Caenorhabditis elegans: one gene and its partner. The protein of the gene in region 1 interacts with the protein of each later gene in a pairwise test. Each region holds a gene or a part of one and is shown on either strand. Other genes may lie near its edges.

Evidence for each region.
Region 2: the proteins of rpn-10 (region 1) and rad-23 interact in a two-hybrid assay, tested with the Caenorhabditis elegans proteins (3 studies listed by BioGRID).

What each region holds. Positions count from the first base shown.
Region 1 is NC_003279.8:10,730,168-10,734,250, reverse strand, and holds rpn-10 (26S proteasome non-ATPase regulatory subunit 4), read left to right. Parts: upstream 1-1,826; 5' UTR 1,827-1,859; coding exon 1,860-1,885; intron 1,886-1,936; coding exon 1,937-2,077; intron 2,078-2,396; coding exon 2,397-2,898; intron 2,899-2,951; coding exon 2,952-3,323; 3' UTR 3,324-3,539; downstream 3,540-4,083. Other genes in the region: kin-3 (Casein kinase II subunit alpha), read right to left, coding at 174-212; mrpl-9 (Large ribosomal subunit protein bL9m), read left to right, coding at 593-652, 698-863, 914-1,038, 1,087-1,410, 1,458-1,613; B0205.12 (YtxH domain-containing protein), read right to left, coding at 3,574-3,651, 3,702-3,776; B0205.8 (TFG domain-containing protein), read left to right, coding at 4,033-4,083. UniProt on the Caenorhabditis elegans protein: Binds and presumably selects ubiquitin-conjugates for destruction. Required for protein degradation and ubiquitin-proteasome system (UBS) function and regulates proteasomal subunit expression. Involvement in UBS might be cell type specific.
Region 2 is NC_003280.10:11,650,757-11,654,702, forward strand, and holds rad-23 (UV excision repair protein RAD23), read right to left. Parts: upstream 1,974-3,946; 5' UTR 1,973-1,973; coding exon 1,901-1,972; intron 1,855-1,900; coding exon 1,771-1,854; intron 1,722-1,770; coding exon 918-1,721; intron 864-917; coding exon 852-863; 3' UTR 506-851; downstream 1-505. Other genes in the region: coa-7 (Cytochrome c oxidase assembly factor 7 homolog), read right to left, coding at 1-247, 294-392; rpn-12 (26S proteasome non-ATPase regulatory subunit 8), read left to right, coding at 2,371-2,460, 2,505-2,560, 2,607-2,682, 2,756-3,151, 3,203-3,337; nep-1 (Neprilysin-1), read right to left, coding at 3,717-3,816.

The DNA of each region.
Region 1 (4,083 bases):
TCTTTACGAGACTATAAATTCCTATGAACATTTATAAAATCTAACAAATGTGGCGTACAGTGTTTCACAGTATTCCACAACTAAACGGATAACGTTAATTCCGTCATTGTGAGTTATGTATGAGCAATATATTCTGTTCAATAATTAACTCCTGGCTATACAAACTTGCTCACCTCGGCGTAGACCCTCGCCCGGCTAGGAATCGGAGGCATTTCCCAAGAATAACGATCTGAAACAAGTAACACGTTATTTTTGAGCAAGTTTTGACAAAACGGCTGTTATAATTGAATTATTAGAACGAAATTTTCAGTAGAAATAGTAAAATCTCGGGAAAACTGATAAAACCCGAATAATTTTGAAAATACATGCCAGAACATGAAAAGAGTACGCAAATGCGAGAGAGCGCAGAGAAAAAACCAAATGTGAACTCGTGCGTGGTGAGATATTCCCGCTGCGAAAGTCGGTGTGCCTTTAAATTTGTCATCATCGACAACGGCGCGCATTTTCTTTTCTCATCTATTTCTGTATTTTAGAATGAAATCACTTTATTTTCAGCGAAACACTTAATTAAAATTGATATTTTCAGGTAATTATGCTTTCAGCTTCACAGCTTCATCGATTTGTGCAACATATTAATCGCCAGGCAAGCCGAGTAAGTTCTGAAGCAATTAATAAGTTATTTTATGTTTTTCTTCAGAACACATGGGTATTGCGCCGAGTATTCCAACCAGAAGTCACACCGCCCGGCGGAGTACAGAAAAATCCCAATGATTTCCACGATTACCAGAAATACGAAGTTGTTGAGTTCGAAACACAAAAATCCGCTGGTCCGATTAATGTGATTTTACTTCAAGATGTTGAAGGTAGTTTTTTAAAATAAAAGAAAGCAAATGTAAAAAATTCATTTTTACAGGAATTGGCCATCAGTTCGATGTGGTTAGTGTGGATCGGACTTTGGCCCGAAAGGATTTACTATTATCTAAAAAAGCCGTCTACGCGTCGCCGTTTGATTTAAAGTACTATTCAGATATGAAAACAGTGGGTTTTAATGTTAATTTATATTTTTCAATCAAATAATAATTTCAGCGAATGGCTGAAGAACTTGCTTCTCGAATCAGAATTCCATATGAGCTCAAAGTGGTTGGACGAGATTTGCAAAAAATGGTCATTCCAATCAAAGTTAATATGGAAAATCAATGGACGATTGATAGGAATCTTGTAAAAAGCTCACTTCGTCAAATGGGAGTTTTCGTTGCTGAAAATACAATTTTCCTCGCCGCTAAACCAATTTCTGGCCCGAATTTTGATATCGAAGCAAAACTATTCCGATTCTACGTTGTTGTAAATCAACAATACATTGTTCCTATGTTAGGAAGGATTACACATATTTCAGTAGATGAATCCAAACAGGTAAAGATTGAAAAGTTGTAGAAAATTATTGAATTTCCCTTTTTCAGATGATTTCTCCTACACTGACAACACCACGTGACGAGGAATTGGCTCGATATTCCATCCGAAAAGAGTTCCCATTGTACAGTAAAAATAACGATTTCACGGAAGATTTCCCAATTTTCGAGCACATGAAAGAGCATGCACCAACAACTCCACATTAGAATTCTAATAATCAATCAGACTAGATTTAATGTGTTTCAATTCTTTATTTTTGTTATTCTTGTTTTGTTGTTTGAAAAAAATCGATTTTATTTGTATTTGATTCTTCAAATAATTTTTAATTTATTTGCTCACGGTTTAATCACCGTTTAATATCTTCCTTCATTTATTCGTCAAACTGTTTTAAATTTAATTTTATTTCTCACATTCTACAGAGTTCATACAAAGGTGCTCAACACATTTCCAAAATGGTTCAAGAAAGTACTATGATTTGGTGAGTTTTTCTTGAATAATACGAACAATGGCAATATTATTTACTTTTCAGTGTCGACAATTCGGAATACATGCGCAACGGAGATTTCCAACCAACTCGGCTCCAATCTCAACAGGATGCAGTAAATCTTGTTACACAATGCAAGTTGCGTGCCAATCCGGAGAATGCTGTTGGAATTCTGTCAATGGCAAAGTTCGTATATTACTCAAACTCGAACGTTTTTTTGCGCTAAAATGACGGTACCTGGTCTCGACACGAAGATATTTTGTTAAATGCAAAAAGGTGTGCCCCTTTGAGGAGTACGGTAGTTTCAAACTTTCGCCGTTCTAGAATTTTCATTGGAAAATCGATGAAAATTCAGTAACAACGTTTGAAGTTACAGTATTCTTTAAAGGTGCACATCCGTTTGTATTTAGCGAAAAATGTCCTGTCGAGACCCAGTACCGTTTTTTGGCGCAAAAATCACTGATTTCCGGTAACACATGAAATTTTTCAATGTTTTCCTTTTCAGCAGTGTTCAAGTATTGTCAAGTCTGTCCACAGAACAAGGACGTTTGATGATGAAGAATCATTCCATTGAGCCATTCGGAAAATGCAACTTTATCGCCGGTATCAAGATTGCTCATCTTGCTCTGAAACATCGTCAAAACCGTAATCATAAGATGCGCGTTGTTCTCTTCATCGGATCACCTCTCGAGGAAATTGAAATGAATGAGCTCGTGAAGATTGCAAAGAAAATGAAGAAAGAGAAGGTTCTGTGCGACGTCATCATGTTCGGTGAAAATGAATCCGATGGACATGAGAAATTCTCAACATTCGTGGACACATTGAACGGAAAAGAAGGCAGCGGCTCATCCTTGATCGTTGTTCCACAAGGATCTTCCCTCACAGACGCGTTGTTGCAGTCAAGTGTATGCAAAAATGAAGATGGGCAAGCTGCATTCGGTGGAGGTGGAAACGGAATGGATAATGCATTCGGAATGGATGTTGAAAATGATCCAGATTTGGCTTTAGTAGGAAATTATTTTTTGGTTGCGTTGGAAAATCATTTTATTATTCTTTTTAGGCTCTTCGTGTCTCAATGGAAGAGGAACGAGCTCGTCAAGCCGCCGCCGCTGCTGCAAATGGAGGTGCCGCGGATTCTGGAGCTGATGCCGAAGTTGCTGCTGCGGCTGCTGCTGTTCCATTGGAAGAAATGGACATGGGAGCGATGACTGAAGAGCAACAATTGGAATGGGCTCTTCGTCTTTCAATGCAGGAAAATGCTCCGGCTGAGCAGCCACAAGTACAACACGAACAAATGGATGTGGATGGAGCTCCAGCAGTTGGAGGAGACAATCTTGATGATTTGATGAACAACCCAGAACTTTTGCAGCAAATTGTGGACGATCTTCCTGCTGCAAATGCGGAGAAGGATGATGACAAGGAGAAGAAATAAATGTCCCTGTGAAGTTGTTTTATTGTATTTTATCCTATTTATTATTGAATCACCATCCAGCCACCCCAAGTGAATGATTTTCAGTCTCCAACTTCTTCTTCCCCGCTGCGTAATTCTAATTTATTCCATCTCTCATTTTTCATCACGTATTTTCCTGTATATCCAGACCGATGTGAAAATAAACTTTTTGTGGCAAATATAAATTTATTCATGATTAGATTCTAGATATTGATTGATTATGGGAGTGGTGTCATGGATCCTTTTTGTATTGCTTCAGATAGTCTTCCACATTCTTCATCATCTCGCTGGCCGATGGAAGCTTTTGTAACTGAAAACAGTTGAATAAATTATCAATAATCAATCAAAATAAAAGATAACCTCATAATTCTGTGCAAAGTACGCTCCGGCGTATGCTCCAAGCCCCATCGTCAGGAGATGCGAGAAGAGACCCATATTTTACTGAAATTATTGATTTTTTCAGAGATAAAATATGTGATACATTTAGGAATAATCATTAAGAACATAATTTTATGTAAATTGAGATTGCAATTAAATTAAATTGAATATTTTAAAGGAAACACGATAAAATCAGCAAAAAAATGACGCACCGCTTAAAAAGCAAGTGCGCTCTACTGATAATCTTTTTCGAACGCTCTTCAATTAATTGGAATTTCCGAAATTTTATTATTTTCAGCTTTATAAAAGGAATATGACAGAAAGTACAAGCTTGGATGAACTTTTCAAAGATCGATATTCTCAG
Region 2 (3,946 bases), on another chromosome or scaffold:
GTGATAAATATCGACATCCTTGTGGAATATTCGCATCACATGCGATTTTCATCGGTCGAATCATTTTTGACAGACTTGCATCGTCTCCAACTTTTCCGGCTAACATGTACATTCCGTACTTGAAACATGACTTTGGATAACTGTTCTCGTCACAGTTCTTCTTGAAAATCGCTACGGCCGCTTGAAAATTTTGTTGCAGAGCTTCCATGTATTCGCCGAGCAATTGACAGGATTCTGGCCTTTTTTCCTGAAAATTTAACTTCAAAGAAAGATTGAAAATTCAAATTTCTCACTTCGTAGCATCCAAATCTGTACTCAATCCCAATATTTTTCACATATTCCGCCCTTTCGGCCTGTTCCTGCATAGCTTCTTCGCTTATTTTTCCAGACATCTTCAAGTAAAGTGAATTAGCGCATATTCAGAAGAAATGAACGACCGATATTGGAGTACGAAATCGTGATGACTCATTGGGTAAAGTTTGATAAATCGAAACGAAGAATCATTAAAACATTTGACTTTCATTTGAAAATGTTGGATGACAAAAGGGAATTACAATACCGAAATTATGTCACACAAAATTCGCTGAACGCGACGAGAATTTCAACGAAGTGCCTACCAGTAGCGGGTGACAATCAGCACATGGAACTGAATGTGTTATTATCTTAAATATATAGACAAAGGGCAATCGAGAAGGCGATGAATACACATTCTTGGAAGAAGTGTTAATAAAAAAATTAGGCTGATAGGAGCAAGAATATAAGCTTTACGGAAATGGGGGAGAGAGAATAAATTAATTTCTGTTGCAATTTCCAGTGACGGTGATCAGAAGTTATTGGCATGGGTAAGATAATTATTCCTCATCCTGAAATAATTAAAAATTAAACTTCTAATTATCTACGTATGGAAATAAACTCACGAGGTTGCTGAAAATAAAGTTGATAGCGGCTTCCTCGTTTTTGTCACATGCGAAATAAGCCTCCACAACCACAGCTTCTGGTGCATTAACAACTATGGCTTTGATTCTCTCAATAGCAGCAGCTTCTTCGGGACTGAGATGGATAACATGGCGACGTGGGGTGTTTCTTTCTGGCGCATTTCCTGCAGCGGCTCCGGCTCCTTGAGCTCCACCATTCAAAAGATCCATGAAAGCTTGCTGGTTGTTCTGAATAGTCTGAACAAGTCTTGGGTTGACAGCAGCCAACTGCTGAAGGACTGCGGCGAGCATTTCAGGATTTTGTTGAATCAAAGCTCTAATTTCTGCAAGCTGTGGCATGTTTGCAAGCATGTTAAGATCGTCATTGCCATCCTCATCCACGTTATCGATGTTTTGCTCGGGCCCCAAATCTGGTTCTTGGTCAGCAGCATCATCAGGAAGTCCGTTGAGAAGAAACTCGACTGCGCGGTCTGGATTCCAGAATGCTGCGCGCAGAGCAGCGATAGTTTGTTCACGGTCATAGCCCATTCCAGTGATTGCGAGAACGTTCTCTTCTTGCTCATCCGTAAGCGCCTCCGCCTCAGCAGGAGCAGCAGCTTCAGGAGCAACATCGGCAGCTGGGGCTGGGTTTGACGCAGGAGCGGCAGCTACTGGAACAGGCTCAGCAGCTGTGGCAACGGTAGATGAAGGTGCAACTTCTGTGACTTTCCTTTTGCTGAGCATCACAACAACGAACTTCGAAGAATCGAATCCGACTTCTCCGACCTTCACAGAATCGTCGAGAATCTAAAAAAAAAACATACTTTAAAGATATTATGAGCCTTCACTGTAATACCTTTCCGTTGTAGATTAATTTTTGAAGTTCTGGAGCATAATCATCCCCTTTCTCCGAAGCGACCAGAGCCTTTACTTCCGCAATCTGAAAGAAAAATAAAATACAAGTCGAACATTAACTCTAATCTTACCGTCTGATCTTCATTCAATTCCAAATTGAAGTTAACTTGTGTGAGAGTCCTGAATGTAACGGACAAAACCATCCTGCAAAAAATTGTGAAATGTTACGAATAGAGTCATGTATTGAAAGAAAAAGAAATAAATATCGATAACAGATTGATATTAATGCAAAACAAGCAGTATATATGTATAAAATAAACAAACATTTGATTATTAATAAAAGAACAAAACAAAAAAACCATTTTGAAGAACAAAATAAGTGGTAAAAAACAGAAGAGAAAATGGCTTGGCGTCTTAAAGGCGCACATGATTTGAACACTCTTCGTGGCGAGACCTGCCAGAATTGTCATTGTGTCGATTTACGGAGAATGCGTTTATTTCTTTTTTGAATGTTTTATTTTTATTTTTTAACTTCACTTGTGTTTATCGTGAACTTTTATCTTCGATTTTATCAAATTAAAACATTATTGGATTTAAGAAAATGTCTGCCGCCCATAAAAATCTTCTGGCTGTGTGGGCAAAGGAGCCAAAAGATCTTGTCGCAGTTGAGAAGGCTCTGAATGAGTTGACGGTCAGTTAATTGTTTGTCAAATTGTAAATAAATTGAATTTTCAGAAGGTTCTCAGTGCCTCCAGCGATTTGAATGATAAACAGTCTGCATTGGCTTCAAAGTAAGATTTTTCTTTGGTGTAATGAGTTTAAATTATTAATTTTCAGAGATTTGTACGAGATTTCGGTGCTCTTGGCAATTCTGAAGCACGATTTCGAAACGTTCGACGATTACATCAATCAGGTGAGTCTTTAAATAATTATTTGGAAAATTTATGTAATTTTTAACGATCTGTAAATTATTTTTAATTTTCCAGATGCATACCTACTATACAATGGCGCCAGAAAATTCTGAAAACAAGCATTTAATGACTGGACTCCATCTGATGTTCCTGCTCGCTGCCAACAGATTGTCCGACTTCCACATGCTCCTCGAACAAATTCCACAGAAAGAGCAAACATCAAACGCTTACATCTCTACGCCAGTTCGTATTGAACAGAGTCTCATGGAAGGAGCCTACAACAAGGTTGTGCTCACCGAGAAGAATATTCCAAGCCCCTTCTACACTATTTTCATTCGTATTATGCTTGACACCATCCGTCGCGAAATCGCAACATCTATCGAGAAGTCTTTCAAAGTTCTGACAGCGAAGGATGCCACGGTCATGCTTCTGTTCGACAATGACGAACAAATGAAAAAGTTTGGACAAGAGGTAATAATGATTTTTAAAGCTACAAGTATTAAAAAATATATTTATTTACAGAGAAAATGGCATTTGGATGGAGAGCGTTACGTTTTCGAAATTGAGGTGGCTCAGGAGAAGCCTGTGAATTTGGATACAGTGCGAGTCGCAACTCAAACCCTCTTCTACGCCAAGCAACTCGAACAAATCGTTTAACCGGTGTCTTTCAAGAACTCAAGCATTGTATTTGTAAACTGATTTTAATTTATTCGCGTCTTTTTCTCGGTACTGTAAGAAAATGAACTTTCCGATGCATTGTTTTAGCAAGTTTTAATTACATCTGAAAATTTTATTTGCACAAAGATTTCTGGAATGAACAAGAACATCTATCAATATGATATACCAAAAAAAGAAGTTGGAAAAATTCGAGAAAAAATACATAGAGGGACAAAATACAGTGAATTCGAGTGTCTATTGTTTTCAACAATATATACAGCTAGATGAGTAAAAAAAAAGGACGAAAGATTTAGTAGATTCTGAGAGACAGATAGATAAAGCGTGCCAACTTGGTTGACTCCTTTCCCGTATTTTCTGATTACCACACAACACAGCGTTTCGTTGGATTCATCGGAGATCCAGCTGGACATTTGAAAGCCTCGGCAAATTCTGGCTGATTTGTTAGAACCGTGTTCACTCTGAAAAAATTATAAATAATTGTTGCCAAAAAAGTTGAATGAACGATGATGTGTATTGCGTAACATATTTTTGAATATCTTGTAGCGAAAACTACATGTAAATAGTAAATCGTCTACTTATGGAAATAAA